2 linked regions of the Drosophila melanogaster genome follow. The protein of the gene in region 2 purifies or fractionates together with the protein of the main gene of each other region. This does not show direct contact. Each region holds a gene or a part of one and is shown on either strand. Other genes may lie near its edges. The genes, in order: HSPC300 and Cyfip.

Region 1 (3,630 bases), on a different chromosome or scaffold from region 2:
TTAAATAAAACATGGCTTTGTACACATGACTGTCTCTTTACATCTTATTATTACATAAACTCTAAAAGTACGTCTTTAAAGGGGCCAGGCCATCATTTACTGTGGCTCTCTAGGTAAACTGTTGCATTGTCCACGCCCATAAACTGGTGTATACTCAGCGAGGACAGCATTTTCATCTGGCCCTGGTACAGCACATCGGCGATGATCTTTTCCGCGTAGATAGCCTGTGTTCCGTCCATGGAGCGAAGCTTGTGTGCGATAATTTTCCCGAAGTTGGAGAAGTGGTCGTCCAGCTGGCTGTCCGCACTCTTTAGGGCCAGCGAAAAGAGGCGCTCAAAGTCAATGGTGGAAATGTCCGCTCGGAATTTACCTGGAGGCGGCTCGTTGTCCTCCGAAATCTGCGAAGAGACCGAGGAGGACCTTTTCCGTGTTATGTGATTGGCTTTCTGGCTCGGGCTCTGATTACTGATCAGTTTCGTTTGGTTCTGGGTGACGATGCGCTTGCACTGCGGCGATTCGGAGTCGCCAGGCGGAGACTTTATGGAGTCGGGCACGGATTTTCTGCGGGCGGACAGCAGCCTGTTGTTAGCAGGCACCACGATTTCGACCTCCTTGATAGTAGCGCCACTGGCATGGCTGTTGGCGTTGTTGACTGTTTTAATACTGATAACGGGGTCAGCGGCAGCGGCGGCGGCGGCCTCCTCGAAGATGTTGGCACAGAATTCGTTGGCGCTGTTGTTGGGTGACATCTTGATCGAGTCTGCCGTCGGCTTTGGGGGCTTGTGCAGGCTCTCGGCGTCGGAATACTCGTCGCCGTTCTCTGGCGCCCCTAGCTGCATGGAGTTGTCCAGGCAGACCGACTGCTCGCGCTTGAACTTCTTGTCGGCGGGGATCTCCTCGTCCTTAAGGAACATCAGGGACTCGAAGTAGCGGCGCTTGGGGCAGTAGGGCTCGTACTTCTCGCCCTTTTTCTTGACCTCGTTGTATTTCCTCAGCTGATGACGAAATGCACAGCGCAGATTGTTTATCTTTTGCTTTGTTCGCTCCACATTGTACATCTCCCCGTGCTTGGTGGCCACCTCGATGAGCTTCGCGTAGGCCTCCTGCCGGCGGCTGCGGTTCCTGAAGTCCGCCGAGTCCGCCTTCCACAAGCACGGATTGCTTTTGTATTCTTCGATGAAGTCGTCGATAAAGTCCATTTTTTGTTTACCAAATGAAAAACACTGTAGTTTACGGGGCCACCTAGTTTATCTATGTGTGCGTGTGCGTGAGTGGCATCAATAGCTATCGTTTCGCTCGGCTCATTCCGATTGGAACACGCGGAATCGGACCGCAAAATGGGTACATACTTTGCTGGTTTGCAGTAATTCCTTAATAAATATCATTTAAAACAATAAAACATCGAAAACTAACCCACGGTTAATATAAAATATAGCAAACGCAAATTCGAATATATCTATGTATATTGCGATATACAATTGTATATTGCGGCGATAAGTTTCTTTATATATTCGGCTGTGTCTACCCCAATACTTTTATTATTTACCTTTATTTTATTATTCATATTTACACGCTATAGTTGGCAGACAAAAATATTAAGTTATTTCTTTCATCGCACTTTCCCGCGTAATTTTTAAATAGTAGTGCTTAGGGAGTGTTGTAAAACACCATTAAAATTTCTTGTTGGAGTAAAAATTTGATCTCAATGAATCACGGTGAACACGGTAATTGTATGCCTATCGATAGTTCCAAATTTTTGACAATAATTGTTCCGGCCCAACCCATCTCTCATCTCTAGATAAACACAATTAAAACGAACAGAAACAATAGGAATAAATAAAGATGAGTGGGGCTCACAGAGAGGCGATCCAAAAGCAGATCCACCAGGACTGGGCGAACAGGGAGTATATCGAAGTGATAACTGCCAGCATAAAGAGAATCACCGACTTTCTGAACTCTTTCGGTAAGCAACCTGCATACGAAGCACCCACTTCCCTCTGACGCATGTGTGTGTGCGCGTGTTTATTATCACTTCCTTTGTAGGTGTGGGTGAACGCATAAGTAATATTACTAACAAATATTCATCAGTGACAATGACTTTATTTACTCAAGTCTTAAGTCTATAGAAACAAACAGTGGTTTGTGCGTGGTGGCATATATGTATAGCAATATATGTATCTACATACATATGGAAATGTATGTATGTAACATCATCGGAGGGCTCAAAACGAAAATTCGGCTTTATCTCTATCCGAATTAGTCACCTAAATGAATTGGATAAGCTTTTTCGGTTGCTCTATGCATAATTTAAGATACGCTAAATACTGTGATAAATGATAAGCCAAAGAGTGCGAGGTAGTTGGGTTGCTAAAATATCCCATATCCTTAATAGGGTTTATGTACACTGTTGGCATTATAAACTGTATCATCGTGTGCTATCATATCCTTTCAGATATGTCCTGTCGCTCCCGTCTGGCGGTGCTGAACGAAAAACTAACGATCCTGGAGCGGCGCATAGACTATCTGGAGGCGTGCGTCGCCCAGGGTGAAACATTAACGTAAACGCTGCCCACAACCTTATACTAAGCTTTGTACATTTATAAGTAATTAAAATACTGATTTAATATTTAATATCTTTTGATTCGCAATGTGAATTGCCGTGACATTAATAATTCGCTGTACATTGTTTGTTTGTTCTTTGAAGGAAGGTTTTCACGGCTGAGTTACTTGCGGCCATCGGATTCGATTCATTGCCCCTTTTAAGAATAATATAAGTAATAGCTCAGAACCAAGACAAGCACGCGATGTTTTTGCCAACTAACCGTAGCTGCCTTTATTGTCAATGTTAATGCAAATCGCCCGCCATATATAAGCCGCTTATTAGGGTCTAGTCGTAATCTTGTGAATGTTTTTTCTAAGACCTTAATTGTGCTTAGATTAATCATCGTTCTAGTAGCAGGAGGCTAGACTTAAGTGCTACATTTGTCATAGTTAATTTATATACTCTCTGAAGCCTGGCAAATCCCCCTTCGATAACGATATAATACTCGGCAGGTGTATGGTAAAAAAACAAATCTCTTTATTCCGAGCACGATCGTAGAAATAATTTTGATGATCAGATATAAGCGTAGACCTAATTAACAGTGCATATAACCAAGAGTTTCCGGAACCGGGATCCGCCTTACACCTTGATTCCCGAGGCCTCGGCGGTGGCGCGGTAGCGCTTGATGTAGATCTCATCGGGATCGTACTTGGCCTGCAGCTGCTTCCACTCCTCGGGCTTGTTTTCGATGATGTAGCGAATGACCTTGTCGGTGTTCTGGCGCTGCTTCTCGCTGCACTTGCTGCACTCCGTCTTCAGGGCGTCCGGCAGGGACTTCTTGAGCTCCCGGCCCTCCGGGGTGCACTTTCCGTTGTCCACCAGGCACTTGAAGTAGTTTCCGAAGAGGCGGTCCGACTTCAGGATCTCGTCGACGTCGATGTTGTCGTACTTGGTGGTGTACTTATCCTCGGCGGCGACCAGCACCAGTCCAAGGACGACAAGCGCAAGTATCATCTTCATCTTGGAGTTTTCTGCGGGCGAATTGGGGTAAGTATGTTTGTACGATTAATCAGCACTTTTGTGGCTTA
Region 2 (7,691 bases):
CTGGTCAAGTCCGGGGACCTAAGCGTAGTGTGCGTAGGATCCGTGTGGTCCAGCTGGGATCTGCTGCAGGAGGCCTTCATCAGTGAACTCGCTAAGACAACCATCGACTTCGACCTCAAGCTGGTGCGCATCACCAAGAGCAGTGCCTACGGAGCCTGCTACCTGGGTGCGGATAGTGCGGACTTCGATCTTCCGAGAAACTATGCCGACAACGTCACAGTACTGTACACGTACACCGATCCTCGAAAGAAAGCCAAAGCCACCAACGGCTGTAACTGTTAGATAAATTGTGTTTGACAACCCATTCCGCAATACACTTCCCAATTGCCAAATTCGCAATCAATATTCCAGTTAGTGGTACGGATAGGTAGTATTATAGCTTATCAAAAAATAAATAATTTTATCCTTTGACGAAATCCGCTGGAAAGTAAAGAAGTTTCCCTTTCAATCTTGCATCAAACTCACCTACATATACTTTCTAAACTTTTTTTGTTGGGTTTGTTAGAAATACGTATGAAAATTTTATTCGATAATGTTCATTGTATTAATTGTATGTGTCTCAATTGTTGGCTGTCGTGGCTTCTTTTCATGTATGTGGGCATACATGTGCGGCATCTTCTTTGTAATACTTTGATTGTGTTTAAAGCCAATTTGTTTTTATTTTCGCAGTGCTGTCAATTCAATTCTTTGGCTAATTTGATTCTCGAATCGGGAAGCAGAACATAAATGTATCTGTTTGTAGCGAAGGAATACATAGGCCAAAAACATAATATCTTAGGGAGCTTAGAATAGAGTATTTGGGATAATGTACGAGTAGCTGAATCGAATGCCGTAGCAAGTGAATCAAAATTACATCTACATGTATATATATATAATTGCTTGGATAAAACATTTAACGTACTGTAAGATTGAATGCGACATACCAAAAGAGATTTTCAATAAAATCGAATTCAAATAGAACCAAGACCGCCACTTTGACTAAAAAAACTGTCAAAGTTTCGGCAGCATAGCCAAGAAAACTTGGCTTTTCGGCTTCTACGTCGCTGTTTTCCTGGGGACTAATTCATCTGCGATTAAGTGTAACCTATTTGTATGCGATTAGCTTAAATGCATCCCTTTCCGGGCGACTTCAATTGTTTATGCTCTGCCGCAGCTTCTGGGGATCCTGGTAGTGCGACGAGGACGATATGACCGAGGGATGCTGAGGCGGTGGAAAACACCGCACGTGCTCCACATTTGAGCCCTCGCCATCGCCGCCCTTTAGATACTTGTTGAGAATGGAGAAGATTTGTGAGTTTAATACTTGGAACCGACGAATCCGATCCACCATTCGCTTCAATTGCTGTTAAGGAATATTCAAATTGTACTTTGGGCACTTTGGTAGTTATGTTAGAACTTACAATGCCCTTTACGTCCTCATCCTTGCCATCGACGCGCTGTACCCGCAGAATGTGGTAGCAAAAGTCCAGAGCCTCGAAGCGACGCTGCTGTCCCAGCAGTACGATCATGACGCAGCCAGCCCAGTTCAGACCTTCGCCGAAGAGCTCCTCGATGGTGTACTCCGTTCCCCTGACTGGAATGCAATAAACGAACTGCAGAGCCGACCAAAGGCGATGGAACTCCGAGCACTCATCCACGTGGATAATCCCGTTGGCCGGTGGAGGACCACACCACACAGGGTCGTCCAAATAGCTCTTCACGCGGTTGAGAATAACTTCAAAAATGCTGAGGCCACAGCAAAGACGCTCACGAGTCAGCAAATCTCCCTCTCGTGCTATCATTGCTTGCTGTTGGTAAAGATTATTATTATAAAGTTAATCAATTAAGTTTGGGGGCTCACCTTTGCAGTGCCAATCTTTTCCACGTTTGAAACTATCTGCAGATTGGCAAACTGTGCTTCAAGACGCTTTTGCTTAGCCTCCGGTTTTTCATTCTCTGAAATGGGTAGAGATGTAAGTAAGAAAAACTACCCATGAAAGCATCCACTTGTACATACCTTTGCAAAAAGGTCTGGGAAAGATGTTCTGGAAGAGGGCGGCGTGCAGTAGATCGCACACCTCCTCCTGCGAGAGCGCCTGTTCGATCAGCAGGCAAAAGATAATGCTGTTGCCAAACTCCCGGAAAGACTGAAATAGCTCTGTCTTCGCGTCCGGATATTGCACGATGTCTGTAAGATGAGCCTGATAGTAGCTGAGCACTCCAGGCGAACCATATTCGCAACGGGGTAGTTTGCATGACTTGGGCATGGCAATCATCAGCGTCTTGGTGAACTGCAGCAGCGAGCCCTGGATCAGTGGCTTAACAATGTCCTTCAGTATAATGTCCATGACGACTGCTATGCCCTGATAGCCCAGCAGGCGGCACATGGCATGGAAATGCGGTGAACCTACAAAGCCAGTGTACTGGCCATACTGTGTGGAATAGGCAGCATTCAGCTGCTTGGAACCCCACAGATAGTAATGGGACATTTGTGGCGGCTTCTCACGCTGAATAGCCTGTGACGACGAAAGATTCACTTTGGTTCGAATGAAACTGCAAGAGATAATAGTAATAATAAGTATTTTAAACAATAGAAAATTGGCGGCACACCCACCGATTCGTGGCTGCATTATAGCAGTAATTGACCAGAAAGTCGTAGTTCAATTCCACAAAGACGTGCAGTGTTATTCTGCCGTAAGGCGCCAGTACATTGTGGTTAGCCTCCTTTACCATGCCGTCAAAGTTATCCAGGGCCAAGTACTTGCTTAGCAACTTGTGGCAAATTCGATTCGCCTCTAGCAGGCCTTCGAGTTCCTGAAATTAAGCGAATTAGAGACCGATTCTAGACATCTGTAGGATTCCACTTACCACAATGCCGGTTATATCGTTGCCCTCGAAACGACTGATGGCCAACTCAATGCTCTTGTGCATGTTGGCGTTTATGCGTTGTGTGATCAGTTTGTTCAAGTCAATAGAACGGCCTTAAACGAATGGAGAAACCATTAACCAAAAGATCATGATGCAATGGGTGTTTTGCTTACCCAAAAGTTGGACATGTCGTTGTTTTAACAAGGTCTCATAACGATTATTGCGGGGATACGACTGGAAGTTGAAACCGAGTACCTCGCACTCCAAACGGAATCGCTTGTCCAAGAAGATGCTGCCCGCCAATTGCTTGTAATGGGCAAAGATCTGCTCGCTCAGCTTGTAGACAAACTGATCGAAGCACAGATTGACTTCGGCCTCCACTTCGTCGTACAGGAACTGCTTTCGGAAGACAGTGAGTGCGTAGTACGCCGAGTCGTTGTACAAGTCCAGGGGATACAAGACAAATCTGTGTGAGGCACTTAGTTAGTTCAGATCATTTCACCTATTCGCCATTTACTTACTCCATCATTGAGGGCTCCTTCGTTTGCAGAATGTGATCGGTTAGGATCCAGGGCATGGACATTTCAATCGGAAACTGAATGCGCTTCTCCATGGTGATCAGATCCTTGCACTCCTCGTTGTGCTGATGCCGCACCAAGCACTTGTTAACCTTACGACCCATGGTCATCTCCAAGTAGAACTCGCGATACCACAGCTGCGAGAGATCGCAGCACTTCTGAAGCGTGTCGCTGAAGTTGAGCAAGTAGCTCCAGTAGAACGATGTCTTGTGGAACGTGTCGATCTGCAGCAAACAGTTTCCGTCGATGTCCTTGCGCAAAGTGCGCTTGCCGCCGCTTTTGTCGGCAATCAGAGACTCCAGCATGGTGCGCACCATGTATAGCTGAGTGGAGGAAGGTCCCACATTGAGGCGAGGCACCTGGATGCGGAAGCCGCCGTCGGGATCCTTCTTGCCCTTGGCCACTGGATCGTCGGTGGGCTCATAGCCCTTTTGCCAGTCCGCCGATGTCTCTCGCACCGACATGATGATGCTCCGGATAAGATCCTTCTTATTTTTTACGGCCTTTCGCAGCGGTTCACGAAGCGAAAGCTGCACGAAGTCCTGCAGCTCGGAATAGATGTTACGCCGGATAGCCTCGCACAATACGGTTTCAATGCGCGCCATTAGCACCTGCAGTCCCTTTATCATGGCGATGACCTCGATCAGCGCGAACTTCTCTTCCGAGGTGTAATTGTAGCGGGTGGCCCGCTCGTACTCCTCAGCCTCCACGGGGCACTCCTTGTTCTGGTGATGATCAGTCGGATGCAGGAGCTTCCAGGAGTACAACTCGGTGACCACACTGGTCCACTCGGACAGCAATTGAAGGCCGCGCAGAGCCAGGTCGGCCGTAATCCGGTTCTCGGCATCAGAGGGATTCTCCTTGACGGTGGTGGTCACCTCGTTTGTGTATCGCGCCAGCTCCGAAATGTACTTGACGTGATCCTCGCGTATCTGCGGCAAATGCACCATTAGATCCGCCTGTGGGCTGATGGCGTTTGAGCTGGACAGCGGCCACTTGCTGGAATCGAAGTGCTTGCTGCGCTTTATGTAGTTGAAGGGAGCAATCTGCATGTCGCCGAAGAGGGGCACCACTTCCAGGTTCTTAAAGATGCGATCGATGCGATCCAGCCGTATCTTCTTCTTTTGATCAAGTTTGTTGATATTGCACGCATCGCTGTCCATAAGGAACAGGCCAAAGCCCATAACTTTTACCAGCATGTGCTTCTCCTCAGGGGTCAAGTACATCTTTGTCTCGAACATATGCACGCAAATGTTGACCACATCTGAGAGCAGATCCTCGTAGCCCACGATCTTCTCCAGCGTGTCCTTGACCGTGTCGCGAATCTTGTTCTGCGTGGCCAGGAACATGGACAGATTCTGCGACTCCTGCAAGGTGTGCGAGTCCGACATCACTTTGAGGAACTGCGCAGCTCGCCTGTAGGTGGAGTAATCGTTCTTCACGCTGGACTTCATGTTCTTCAGCTCGTCCAGCACGGCAAACATGTTGATAAACTTGCCTAGCGTCAATAGGTACGCCTCGGACACGAAGTCCTTGCGCTTCTCGGCGTGGCACAAGCGCTTCACCTCGCCGGAGAAGGCCTCGATGGCCTTGCGTTGGAAGTACATGAAGTTGAGCAGCTTGTTCACCTCCGGGGCTAGCACCTCGACCGTCTTCTCGTAGATCTCCACGCGATTCGGCTGCTCATTGGACTTGGGCTGCGGAATGGCGCGCGAGCAGCAGCGCCAGGTGTAGAGCATTACTGCGTGTTTCTGCCCCTCGTCCAGGAGCACATTCTGCGGGCGGAGAGAAGGGGTTCAGAGCTGTGAGTAATGCTAATGCGATAAGCCGGATACGCTAACTCACCAAGTTGGCATGGGTGGTGGCCTCCTCGATGTACTTGGCGATACCCGTGACAAATCCATTGCGATCCTCGAAATTCGTATCGAAGTTTGCCTTGTAGATAATCGAGCAGGGCTGCGCCTCGATGCAGGGCTGCTCGTCCGGCAGGGATAGCTCGTCCAACACCTCCACGTTGGACAGCGCGTCGGCTAGCGTAATCTTCTCCGTCATGCTGGGCTGCTTATCATGCTCCAGCAGCGCGAAATGGTTAAATTCTAACAAGGCGGGGCCCCAATCCAATCGACACAAATTTTTTTCGCCACAAATACAACACGACTTTTACCATTCGCCTGGGTGCGTGGACACGTGGCCATAATTAGCACATTTTTGCTGGCGGTTGGCGTCTACGATGTGCTTATGCTTATATGGCTGCGCACCGCTAATTTCGATAAGAGAAAGATAATCGATAAATACGGCGCATTGGCGGCACATCACATCACTAGCGTCTGTGGTTCCGTTTCGTTTTAGCGAACTCAATTTCTCCTATTTTATATTGCATTTTCCGTTAAGAGTAGCCTACAATTCTGCAAGATGTCGATGTTTTGGGGTAAGTCGAACTGATCTCACTTGCCCCCTCCGGGCTGGTTGTGCCAACGAGCTCTTGGGTGCTCCGACCGCGCTTTTATTGCCACCACGTGCTTGCCGCTCGATTTACCGGCAGCGTGGAGCGGCGCCATTTGCACGCCGATGTAAAGTAAACCATGTTTTTGACCAACTGTGTCCTCTTCCAGGTTTGAACATGAAGCCTGAGCGCAAGTACTCGCAGACGATCATCAAGTCGTTCCACATCTCGGGCGTGGCACTCGACAAGGGCCAGGAGGCCAAGTTGTACCTCGCTGCCGAGAAGCAGGAGTACATCGTGGCCACCGTGACCAAGGCCATTCCACAGGTTGCGCTCGACCTGAACTTCAGCAAGGGCGATCGCATCATGTTCTACACCGCCGGTAAGACCTTTTATGTCCACTATGTTCGCATGTTTATCCGTTTCTGACGCTTTCGTTCGTTTCACAGGCGACGCCAGCGTTTCTCTGTTGGGCTACTTGCACGACATTGATTCCGAAGATGATGAGGATGACGATCAAATGACGATCGAGAATTTGCTGAACTCCAAGGCGATCAAGAATAGCAAAAAGTCTGAAGATGATGAGGATGAGAATGAGAGCGGCGAGGAGGACGAGGAGGATACTGATGACGATAGCCAGATAATCGAGGAATACGAGTCCTTCCTCGAAAATGGTGAGGAGGAAGATGACGACGATGTTGATGAGGATAACGAGGAGAGTGGCGAGGAGGATGAACAGGACAGCGACGACTCCGAAGCTGAAGAGGAACAGCCAAAGGCCAAGGTTGCCAAGCTCTCTCCTGGCGCTAGCGCCAAGAAATCTGGCAAGGAGCAGAACGGTGTGGCCAAGAAGGAGGAGGCCAAGCAGCAGCAAAAGAAGAAGGAGAAGCCAGAGGCCAAGAAGGAACAACCCAAGGCCAAGGAGCCAGCCAAGCAGCAACCAGCTTCTAAGGATCCACGTACTATCACCGGAGGCGTGAAGATTGTGGATCAGGTCGTCGGCAAAGGCGAAGAAGCCAAGCAGGGCAAACGCGTATCTGTTTACTACATCGGCCGCCTGCAGTCGAACAACAAGACCTTCGACAGCCTCCTGAAGGGAAAACCATTTAAGTTCGCCCTGGGCGGCGGAGAGGTCATCAAGGGCTGGGACGTGGGAGTCGCCGGCATGAAGGTGGGCGGCAAGCGAGTCATTACCTGCCCCCCGCACATGGCGTACGGCGCACGGGGAGCTCCACCGAAGATCGGACCGAACTCCACTCTCGTCTTCGAAGTGGAACTGAAAGCTGTGCATTAGTGCACTATATTAACATCATATAGACTTGTAATCCTAAGTAAGTATCCACGTCGTACAACTTGATAAAAATGTTAAATAAACTCTGTTTTCCGGCTGTTCATAAATCAACAGTTTTGTAACAATCGCATGTATTTGGTATGGGGTCTCTAAGGGGTTTTTTCGGGTGAACATACATCCAGCAGGGGCTCAGACTGGAGTTTCCAGTGCTCGAGTACGTAAGGCAGCCGTTCGCTGGGATCTGTGCTCCAGTGGTGCAGACGACACTTGAGTCGCGCCTGTTCCAGCTTGTTTATGGTCACAGTGCAGTAGAAGTCCTTGTTCTCCTTCTTCAGGTCGGGTCCCTCGATGCGCTCCTTGGGCAGGGTAATGCACTCCTCGCGACAATAGAACCCAGTCTTGCGCAGCGAGGCCTTGATGTGCCAGGGCTCGAGCACCCATGGCTCATCCTTGTTCATGACCACCGCCAGCACAATGGTCTCCAGCATGTTGACCGTGCGCTGGGCGTAGGGGGAGCTGTGTTTAACAGTCG

Evidence for each region.
Region 1: the proteins of Cyfip (region 2) and HSPC300 purify together in Drosophila melanogaster (affinity purification with western blotting; 4 studies listed by BioGRID). This does not show direct contact.

The regions. Positions count from the first base shown.
Region 1 is NT_033778.4:24,026,947-24,030,576, reverse strand, and holds HSPC300 (haematopoietic stem/progenitor cell protein 300), read left to right. Parts: upstream 1-1,787; 5' UTR 1,788-1,842; coding exon 1,843-1,963; intron 1,964-2,452; coding exon 2,453-2,562; 3' UTR 2,563-2,860; downstream 2,861-3,630. Other genes in the region: CG3163 (uncharacterized protein), read right to left, coding at 93-1,199; EbpIII (ejaculatory bulb protein III), read right to left, coding at 3,182-3,562.
Region 2 is NT_033777.3:15,331,175-15,338,865, reverse strand, and holds Cyfip (cytoplasmic FMR1 interacting protein), read right to left. Parts: upstream 5,601-7,691; 5' UTR 5,478-5,600; coding exon 5,271-5,477; intron 5,201-5,270; coding exon 3,369-5,200; intron 3,314-3,368; coding exon 3,021-3,313; intron 2,961-3,020; coding exon 2,848-2,960; intron 2,794-2,847; coding exon 2,594-2,793; intron 2,533-2,593; coding exon 1,997-2,532; intron 1,936-1,996; coding exon 1,841-1,935; intron 1,788-1,840; coding exon 1,401-1,787; intron 1,343-1,400; coding exon 1,130-1,342; 3' UTR 501-1,129; downstream 1-500. Other genes in the region: Nagk (N-acetylglucosamine kinase), read left to right, coding at 1-282; Fkbp39 (FK506-binding protein 39kD), read left to right, coding at 5,838-5,853, 6,038-6,250, 6,318-7,162; mRpL9 (mitochondrial ribosomal protein L9), read right to left, coding at 7,309-7,691. UniProt on the Drosophila melanogaster protein: Plays a role in guidance and morphology of central and peripheral axons and in synaptic morphology. Also required for formation of cell membrane protrusions and for bristle development.